Linked DNA regions of Cricetulus griseus. The protein of the gene in region 3 interacts with the protein of the main gene of each other region in a pairwise test. Links are inferred from orthologs where the notes say so. Each region holds a gene or a part of one and is shown on either strand. Other genes may lie near its edges.

Region 1 (3,500 bases), on a different chromosome or scaffold from region 3:
AACCAATCCCAATTTCCAGCCACCCAGACCCAGCTTCTCCTCCAAGGGCACCTTCTACCCAAACGGACCAGGCTACTCACTCGATGAGTGACGTTTCATGGTGCCCTTCGGAAAAAGCAAAAAACCAAGCAATGTGAGGCTCAGCTGCAGACGGCTGGCCCCTGTGCCCCTCCCAGCTCACCCCTGGTTCCAGTCACCCAGCTCACCCCTGGGCCTGGGGGGAGGATGAGGCTGCCAGCTGTGGCTCTGAGCTGGGCAGCTGCAGCCTCTGAGCTGCATGTCACAGTGCGGGTGGGGGCAGGCTTGATGTGAACGTAGAACTTTCTAGGCTCTTCATCATCAAAATCAGAGTCACTAGAGGAGAATCGAGGGGGCTCGGCCATGCGTGGGCCTCTGTCAAGGAGTCAAGTCTTGAATCTGACCACACTCCCGGACATGGAGGCCCTGTACGGTGAGTTTTGACCTCTTATGTTCAGGAAGCTACCTGGGGAGCTTCTGTTCAGCCACACTGATGCCCTTCCTCCAGGAAGCCTTCCTGGATAGCCCACCATAAAAGTCCACCTGTCTTGTCCACCTTTATTTTGAGACGGGATCTCTCTGCATAGCCCTGATCAGCCAGGAACTCAAAGGCTGGTTTACATTCTAAGATGGCCTGCCTCTGGATTAAAGAGGTGTGTCACCATCGCCTGGCTCTCAACCCTCCCTCTGTCTACCATCGAAAGTGCACAGGACAAGGCTTGCACCTGGAGCTCCTTGGTGCACAGTAGGACTCTCCGGGGGGACATGGAATCACAGAAAGGAAGGATATTATTATGGGACACGTCAGGACGCACAGTGAAGCCTTCTTCATCCACCTCTGGAGGCACCTGGGGGGAGTCAGGTTCCCTCCAATGACCCCTCGGCTTGTCCACCCAGGCTCCCACCAGAATATATTCCAGGGTTGTAGGCAAATGCAAGGGGGACTGAGATGCAGTAGAGCTTCCAGTCCCTCACACGGGGACCACACAGGTGAGACCTGATTCGGAGCCCCACCCTGGGCCCCTCTGGCCCCCTCTTCCCGGGGGCCTTGAAGATCAAGTCCCGCCTACCCATTGCCCTGCCGGCACAGGACTCACCCCTGAATCAGACTCCAGAAAGTCCCTGGGGACAGAGGAACAGGGGTTAGTGGCTGGAGTCCCCAGAAAGGATGCCCACCATATTGCCCCAAGCTAGCCCATAGGCTGGGAATGTGGGTGGCTTCTAGAGTCAGACAAAGCCTCAAACAGTACAACAGATAGCTAGCCTTGGCAAAGGGAGGGATCATGGCCAACCTAGGTTATGATGGGCCAAGCAGCTTCTGGGCCAGCCTGGGTAAAAGGAGGAATTCCAGTCTAGTTTGGGAGAGTGGCTCTTTTGGGCTAGCATGGGACAGAGATCTTTCTGGGCTAGCCCAGGAGAAGTGGTCCTGGGACAGTCTGAGATAGGGAAAGTGCCATAGGGGGTTTCTGTGCTCGCTGGAACAAGGGGCAGGATTTTGGGCTAGCCTAAGCTAGGGTGGGGCACTTCCTCACACAGCTGCACGGGGCTCCCGCCGGCTCAGTCCTGGAAGACGGAAGGCCTTGGCTCCTCGGAGACGCTTCATTGCTGTTGACAGAAGGAGGGCAACTAAGCTCTAGAAGGTTCTCCCCTTTTCTGTTCAGATCCCTCTCCAAAACCCTGGTCTAGCCTGGGCATCCAGGCCCAGACGTACTTGCCTTCCTGCAGGGCAGCTGTGCTGTAGGCATCAAAGTCCAGAGGCCCTGGGGCAAAAAAGAAATAAGTCTGAGGGGCAGAAGCGGGCTGCACAGTTGCACACCGGGGCTCCACAACAGGAGCCGGAGGGTGTGAGAGGAAGGCCTAGGTATGTCAGGCCTGGCTGACTGAACATAGAAACAGCAAGAAGGACAGCTTTCCTGGTCACCTGGGTCTTTGAACAAAGTGTGCCTGCATTTAGGGGATTGTGGTCTCCACTTTATCAATGAGAAAGCAAGCTCAGAGAAGTCAAGACATAGCCAGGCGGGGGTGCGCACGCCTTTAATCCCAGCACTCGGGAGGCAGAGGCAGGTGGATCACTGTGAGTTTGAGACTAGCCTGGTCTACAAGAGCTAGTTCCAGGACAGGCTCCAAAGCCACAGAGAAACCCTGTCCCAAAAAAACAAAAAAAAAGTCAAGACATGCAACTGAGGTCACACAGCAAGCAACGGAAAAAGGACCCAAATTCAGTCTGACTATCAAACTTTGGCTCTCAACAAGGGCGTCTTAAGCTCAACACCATCAATGGCTCCCTCAGCTCTTGAGACTTAGTGAGAAACAGCGGAGTTTCCAAGCTGAACTTTCATGATCCTTTAGGGATTGGTGTCTAGGACTGGACTATGTGAGATCAGCCATCAGATGCCTTCCCTACATGGGGTGGGGGACAGAGAACTGCCACCACTCTATTTTTCCAAAGAAGAAACCAAGGGCCAGGGAGGCCCTCACCAGGGTCACTCACCAGGCTTTTCGCAGCCGGTGCCCTTGCTCTCTGCAAACTTCCTGAGGAGCATGTCCACAGTCACATTTTCCACATTCTGCTTAAATTCCTCATGCACCTGGGTGGGGGGTGGAGAGGGCATGAGGGGCACGGCCTCTGTGGGGCTGGACAGGAGGGCGGGGCCCATCCTCACCTGCCCGATCTGCACATGGGTGTCCTCCACTGAGTGAGCATAGGAACCCAGCAAGGCCTTCATGTGCTGCAGGTGCGACTCCTCCATGGCCTGAAATCGCTGCGATGGGAGGGACATGTGACCCGGGCTGACCAATCAGATCAGTCCAGACCCCCCACTGGCTTAGGGAAGCACCAATGGGATTCTGCCTTTGGATTTTGGCTGCTACTCAAAAAGACGCTGCTGCCCCCAGCCTTTCCGCTCCACGTGGGATGATGGCCTTTGACCCCAGTACTGCAGAGGCAGGAGGATCTCTATGAGTTTGAAACCAGCTTAGTCTACATAGTGAGACCTATATCAAAAGGAAAAATGGGCCTGCTAGATTAGAGGCACACACACAAACACCCCAGCATGCCCTCTGTCAGCAAAGGAGCGAGGTCCCTAGAAACCAACGACCAGCCACAGAGAGACAACATCCTCATGACACCATTGGAACGCCTGGATCCAGCCATGCCTGACTCCCCTGAACCCACCAAAGAAGCTACCTGGCAGGACACTAGGTAGAAAGACCTGTGAAGGACCACCAACTCCCCAGACCTGGGTCTGGTAACGCCAGTCTCAGCCTGTGCGCTCAGGCATGAGGCTCAGCTCTCAAGCAAAGCCAAACAGCACCTTCTGCCCAGAACCAGCCTGCTGGACCTACCTCCTACCATAGCGGCGAGGAGACAGCAGCTAGTAGCCTGGCTGTTTAAGGCTTGGTTCATGCAGCCACACAAAAAGCTAGGCCCAGACTGAAAAATACCTTTGAACAGGTACAGAATGCTTGGAAATGTGCTTAGA
Region 2 (3,500 bases), on a different chromosome or scaffold from region 3:
AACTGTAGCACATCTGTCACACTGAGCTGCTGTGCCTTCATCTCAAGTGGAGAGAAGGTTCTAGCTGGGCAAGTCTTCTAGCTGGGGTGTGGAGGGTTAGGGGAGCACACAGAAGAAGGAAGAGAGCACCAAGGAAGAAGACTGGCACTGCTACCTCTGCTGTTACTCAGGTCCTGAATCCTGACTCCACTTTCACAGCCTCTTGGCTAACTCCATGCCATCTTTGTCTCTACCCCCCACTGCCAAGAACTGCCACCTCATATAAGCTGTCCTTTGGACAGCCCTCAGCAGATCACTCAGCCTGAGGCAATGTGGCAGTCTGGGGCTAAGGCTCTTGGGTCTGGATGCTTGCGCCCTTTATTCCCCCTTTTTACCCAGTAAAACCCTGCCATCTCCAAGTATATATTCTAGGGAGGATACCTGCTGGTCTCTTCAGGAAGGGAGGAGATGAATCTACATAAATTGTCCCCTACCAAGTAATTCACACAGCTGATTATAGTTAACTATATCTGTAACCCTAGTCCTAGTGGGCTGAGGCAGGAGGAATGCCAGGTGTTTGTGGCTAACCTAGGTTATATAGCAAGCTCCAGCCTGGGCTTCTGTGACCCTGTTTCAAAAAGAAAAAGTAAAAATAAAAGTTGCCCTGTGCTCATCTGGCACATCTGGCTCATCTGTGATGTCATTCCATGGGCTCAGGAAGCCAGCTGGCCAGCCTGGCTGTAAGAGCAGTGTTGAAGTGGAAAGCTACACACCGTGCTGCTTTGGTACCCTTGCCATGTACTGGCTAGACTCAGACTCATTCCCATATCTTCAAGCAGGGAAACAGACCAATGGCTCCCCAAAGTCAGACAACTAGAAGTGGTGGGACTAGAACTGCAACCTGAGTTGTGACAACTTCAAAGACCTGGTCCTTCCATGGCACCAGAAGGTTGCTGGTCAGTGGGCTTCTTTTTCAGCAACTGTTAACAGCTTCTGACCATTCCCAAACCCCTTTGTTCTGACTCTGTCCTACCTGGCACCATCATACCATGGTTTGGAAAGTACACGTGGCCCTTTCGTTACTGTGGGAAGGGCGCATTGGAGCAATACCAGTCGTCAACCCTGGAGTCTGTGTGATCTGTCCCCTATCAGAGGAAAGATCATACCTTTGTCTGCTTCTTCTCTGTGGCATACACGATGGAGGTGCAGCACACCTCTGCCAGCTTGCGACCCTGGCCATAGAAAGACCAGCAGCAGATTTCATCACCAATGACATCCTTGATGAAGAGCACACGGCCATTGAATCGCAGGGACAGCTTGTCAAACAGCTCAATGTTTTTCAGCAGGTGATCATCAGAGTTGCTGAAAAAACCAAAGGGCCAGCAGGCCTGGAATGAGGTTCCAACAAGCAGGGCTGCCGGGACATTCTGGTTCTCCACGCTGCTCTGCCCACCCCTACCCTATCATGCTAAAGTGAAGACAAGGCAGAGGGACAGAGAGGCAGAAAGGAACCTGTAGGACTTGGGGCTTGTGAGGAAAGGGGGTGGAACTGGCTCTCGGTTCAGCAGAGAGCACTGAGAGAAAGAAGTAACCCCTCATAAGCGTGGAAGGAAGGGCCCCTCTCTGTTACTTCAGTATACTGTTCTTTTGCTGTGGGCTGATGCAGGGTTCACAGGGGACCAGGAGAGTCTAGATCCATGTCTGCAGCCACCTGGGTCTACCTAACCATAGCCTGTTATGGGGACACAGTGAGGAACACCAGCTTCAGGAAGACTCCGTCCATGACTTCCTAGCACCTCTCTTCATCCACTAAAGCAATGGGGATTAAAATCCCTGGCACGTTACAGGCATGATTAACATTTTATCATTTATATCCCAACCAGGATTATATAACAAATCCCAAATGCCTCTGTCCTGAGTTCCCTTCCATCTCTGTTCATTGCCCTTAGCAAAGGTGGTTTCAAAACCCAGCCCCATGTTACGTGTGTTGGGAATCTGTGAAGTCCCTTGAGCCACTGCCCACGCCTGCTCTGGTTGCTCAGCCCTTTGGCTGCATTTGCCGCCCTCCCCAGCGCCCTAGCAGAGATGCCTGCCATACCTGGTGTATGAATACTTGTTATTGCTCCTGTTGTATAGCAGCTTCACCACAGGCTGTGGGAGAAGATGGAGTAAGGGTTAGGCCAGGAGCCTGGTGTCCCCAGACCAAGGTCCTAAGAGTGCCCAGTACCTTTGTGGAGGATTCGATGAGCCTGTCCTCTTCTCTCAGCGATGTGATGATGGGGATGTTACACACAGGCTGGTAGGAGTCTTTCTTGTCCTGGGTGACACACAGAGCAGAGAGCTGCCTTTAGGATCTTGTACCCCTCCAGGCCTTGCCACAGTCACCCCCTGCCTGGTAAGGAGGTACCAGACGGACCATGATGTTCTTGGTAATAGACATTGCCAGTTAGTAAGATCTCCACTGCCAGAAAATATGAAGCTCGGATATCTAAGTGAATGAACTAGGGGCACAGCCTGCTTGTGCTACCAAATGTGAGTATCTAGCAGCCGTTTGCTCGGGCCTGGGAGCACCCCATTGTTCTATTTGGGTTTGGACTCATCAACCTCATTTCCAATACAGCTTTCCAGGAGCCAAACCTAATGTCCCCAGAGGAACAATTCCCAACCTCATTAGGTCACCCAATTCTTCCCATACCTGCAGGGCAGACTGGCACATGTTCACTAGCCCCTGAATGAGGTAATATTTTGCTTCAGCCATCAATTCCTGGATTTCTTGCCGGTTTTGAGGGAGGGTGATGGTGTCATCTCGGAGGTAATTCAAGATGGTTCCAAAGTGCTTCCCACATCTGTCTATGAGGATCCAGCCTAGGAATTTAGAGGGATCCCATAGGATTACTGTTAGCCTCCAGCTGTGTTTTACTGTTTGCCTTCAGGCAAACGCCACCTGAAGAGAGGCAGCAGGCAGCAGGATGCAAGGAAAGGAGCTCCGTGAGAGAGTGCAGAGCCCAGACCAGGGGTGGCAGAGATTTGGCCTCAGGTCGGTGCTGCTTTTCCCTATCCTGAGTCCAGGAACTCTGTGCCCCCGAGAAGAGAGAGGTCTTCAGGGGTCTGTGCAGGACTGGATGTCTAAGCTTGGGGGAACTCAGGTCAGCCCAGTAATACAGAAACCACCAGTCTCTGCTTACTTTTGCCCACTGCCCAGGCTCTACTGTGTTTATGACGATTTTATTTGGATACCTATACATATCTCAGCCTTTTGGATGGTTTTTTGTTTTTCAAGGCAGGGTTTTTTATGTAGCCCTGGTTGTCCTGGAAAACACTTTGTAGACCAGGCTGGCTTTGAACTCACAGAGATCCACCTTCCTCTGACTCTTTGAGTGCTGGGATTAGAGGTGTGTGCCACCATGACTGGCCCATATGTCACCTTTTGAAACAGTCTTGCTGAATTGTCTGGGTTAGCCTCAGATTTGAGATTGAACTGCCTCAAACTGAGTGTTGGGATTACACGCCTGTGCCGGCAT
Region 3 (2,928 bases):
GAGGCCAGAAGAGGAAGTCTGATGCCCAACAGCTGGAGTTACAGGTGGTCATGAGTTAGTTGCCTGATCCGAATGCTGGGAACTGAACTCGGGTCTTCTGGAAGAGCAACAAGCACTCTTAACTGCTGAGCCCTCTCCAGATCACTTTTTTTTTTTTTTTTTTCGAGACAGGGTTTCTCTGTGTAGCTTTGAAGTCTATCTTGGCACTCAATCTGGAGACCAGGCTGGCCCCGAACTCACAGAGATTAAAGGCGTGTGCCACCAACGCCCGGCCAGATCACCTTCCTTAAATAAATAAATAAATAAATAAATAAATAAATAAATAACAGTCTTGGGTAGCCCAAGTTGGCCTCGCTCTACCAGGCGGTTGGACTGTTGGCACATACCACCACGCCTCTCTCTCACATTGGGACATGGACCTGGGTCTCGTTCAGTGTCAGCTTCTCCACACCCAGCAGGCCTACGGAACCGGGCACTTGCCAGACATCACGATCACTGGCTGCTGACTTACTCACTCAACACAGCTGAGTGCCCTTTAATGGTGTCCTGGTGATGGGAGGGTTGTGCCCAGGCCTGGAAATGTCCCTGAGCCCCTCCTGCTATAGGACTGGAAGCCACATGGGCACAGAGAGAGGTAGAGTGGGGGTGCTGGCGTGTGGCAGCTGGAGGCGGTGGGCGTGGTGGCGGGAGGGGTGACTTGCTCTGGCTTGTCTCAGCTCTTGGAGTAGCGCCTCTGCAGTGATTCTCGGTAGAAACGGAAGATGTGTTCTGAGGCAGCCTGGGCAGCAGCCAGGCACTGCTGGAGCTGGGGAGGGAGAAGCAAGTTAGCGCCCAGGGTGACCACTCCCCACCACAACGGCTATTTCCTTCTCTACCACCTCCTGACTCCCACCCCAGAAAGGCGGTGGTGATGCATACCTGCGATGAGACAGACACAGAATGGCCCTGAGTAATCCTCCTGCCTCAGTCTACCAAGTACACCACCACCCCTGCTTTTTATTCGGCACTGGGGATGGAACCCAGGGTCTTGTGCAACCTAGAAAAAACTCTCTGCCAATAAAAGCCACATCCTCAGGCCCTCTAAGTTTGCTTCCTCTTTTTAGTATGTAATTTACAGTGTGCGTGCCTGTTAGTGTGCGCACACACCTGTGCACACGCATGCCCTGTGCAGATTAGAGGACAACTTGGCTCTCTCCTCTCACACGTTGGTCCTGGGGACGAAGTTAGGTGGTTAGGCTTGGCAGCAAGTCTTTAATTTCAGAATTGTCTTCCCAGCCTGGAAGTTTTATTTTATTTTATTTTTTTTCCCCTGACACTGGGCTTCTCTGTGTAGCCCAGGCTGACCTCGAACTCACAGAGATCGCCTGCCTCTGCCTCCTGAGTGCTGGGATTAAAGGCGTGCGCCACCAACGCCCAGCTCACCTCTCCCTTTTTTTTTTTTTTAAGATTTTATTTATTTATTATGTATACAATATTCTTCTTCCATGTATATCTGCACACCAGAGGAGGGCACTCGTTACGGATGATTGTGAGCCACCGTGTGGTTGCTGGGAATTGAACTCAGGACCTCTGGAAGAGCAGTCGGTGCTCTTAACCTCTGAGCCATCTCTCTAGCCCCTCACCTCTCCCTTTTTTGAGACAAGTTTTTACTATATAGTCTGGGCTGGCCTGGAGCTCACAGCAGTCTTGCCTGCCTCAGCTTCTGAAGTGCTCTGATCACAGCTGTAAGCCACCGTGCCCAATCCAAATAAATGGAAGAGCCATGAAACTAGAGATTTAAATCTTTACAGCAGCCAGGTGGTTCTCTGTGAGTTCGAGGCCAGCCTGGTCTCCAGAGTGAGTTTCAGGGCAGCTAGGGCTACACAGAGAAACGCTATCTCAAAAAACCAAAATCTTGACCACCATCAACAGGGCCAGAGAAGAAATATAGGTACGGACCAAGTTTCCAAACCATGTCCCTTGGTAACTCAAAATCCTAGATGGCACTGTTCTGTGCTGAAGACTGGGGACCTTAAAGATACATGTACCACCTCATCCAAAGCTGAACCCTGCTTCCTGATCCTGTCACTCAGGCATTCTTTTAAAATTGATAGAGAAACCTTCTCTTTTGGTTTTTTGCTTGTTAAGACAGGATTTCACAATGTTACCCTGGCTGGCTTAGAACTCTCCATGTAGACCAGGCTGGCCCTGAACTCAGCTATGCTTGCCTCTGTCTCCCAAGTGCTGGAGATTAAACTTGTGCCTTGAAACCTTGTGCGTGCCAGGCAAGCACTTTAAGAACTAAGCCCCAGCCGGGCTGTGGTGGCGCACACCTTTAGTCCCGGCACTTGGGAGGCAGAGGCAGGCGGATCTCTGTGAGTTCCAGGACAGCTTATAAGCCACAGAGAAACCCTGTCTCGTAAAACAATACAAAACAAAAAAACTAAGCCCCGGACTCGTACCCACCCACCCAACAAGGACGTAAAGAAGAGCTCACTGTGAGCTGGGACAAGTTGTTATGCCAATGGGAGAGGTTTTGGATTGTGCCCCTACCCCCACACGGTACCTCGGCATCCGAATAGAGCCCTTTGGTGTTAGACATCAGCAGCTTCTGCTCCACGCTGTCCAGAGCAAAGGTCAGGATAGCCCGGGCCTCCTAGGAGCAAGAGGAGGAAGATATAAGTGCCCAGGGACCCTCGTCTTTAAGATCTCAGCCAGTCTCCAACAGGGGTGACCGGACCCTTAGCCTCTCGGTCAACCACAGTTGTCTGTCCACACACTATGCCACCCCTGGGCAAGCGTTTCCCTTCTTTGCTTTTTTATTCTGACCACAGTCATTCTGTCCCACAGGGGGAGCCACAGTGCTGGTCATTCTCTGCCTGCCTCTCCACCACCCACTCCCTCTTCCTAGCTCTGTACTACACAGGCAAGCCAGGGATCCGATCCCCA

Evidence for each region.
Region 1: the proteins of Exosc5 (region 3) and Fcho1 interact in binary tests that used the Homo sapiens proteins (3 or more experiments, as listed by UniProt). The two-hybrid records come from large-scale screens. The link is inferred for Cricetulus griseus from reciprocal best matches to the Homo sapiens genes EXOSC5 and FCHO1.
Region 2: the proteins of Exosc5 (region 3) and Tnfaip1 interact in binary tests that used the Homo sapiens proteins (3 or more experiments, as listed by UniProt). The two-hybrid records come from large-scale screens. The link is inferred for Cricetulus griseus from reciprocal best matches to the Homo sapiens genes EXOSC5 and TNFAIP1.

Annotation. Positions count from the first base shown.
Region 1 is NW_023276806.1:248,082,613-248,086,112, forward strand, and holds part of Fcho1 (F-BAR domain only protein 1), read right to left. Parts: intron 2,781-3,500; coding exon 2,682-2,780; intron 2,607-2,681; coding exon 2,510-2,606; intron 1,779-2,509; coding exon 1,734-1,778; intron 1,624-1,733; coding exon 1,551-1,623; intron 1,141-1,550; coding exon 1,116-1,140; intron 867-1,115; coding exon 809-866; intron 386-808; coding exon 207-385; intron 106-206; coding exon 81-105; intron 1-80. UniProt on the Homo sapiens protein: Functions in an early step of clathrin-mediated endocytosis. Has both a membrane binding/bending activity and the ability to recruit proteins essential to the formation of functional clathrin-coated pits.
Region 2 is NC_048600.1:91,917,819-91,921,318, forward strand, and holds part of Tnfaip1 (BTB/POZ domain-containing adapter for CUL3-mediated RhoA degradation protein 2), read right to left. Parts: intron 2,845-3,500; coding exon 2,675-2,844; intron 2,297-2,674; coding exon 2,207-2,296; intron 2,131-2,206; coding exon 2,078-2,130; intron 1,342-2,077; coding exon 1,146-1,341; intron 1-1,145. UniProt on the Homo sapiens protein: Substrate-specific adapter of a BCR (BTB-CUL3-RBX1) E3 ubiquitin-protein ligase complex involved in regulation of cytoskeleton structure.
Region 3 is NC_048602.1:9,454,849-9,457,776, forward strand, and holds the end of Exosc5 (exosome complex component RRP46), read right to left. Parts: intron 2,636-2,928; coding exon 2,546-2,635; intron 806-2,545; coding exon 713-805; 3' UTR 501-712; downstream 1-500. UniProt on the Homo sapiens protein: Non-catalytic component of the RNA exosome complex which has 3'->5' exoribonuclease activity and participates in a multitude of cellular RNA processing and degradation events.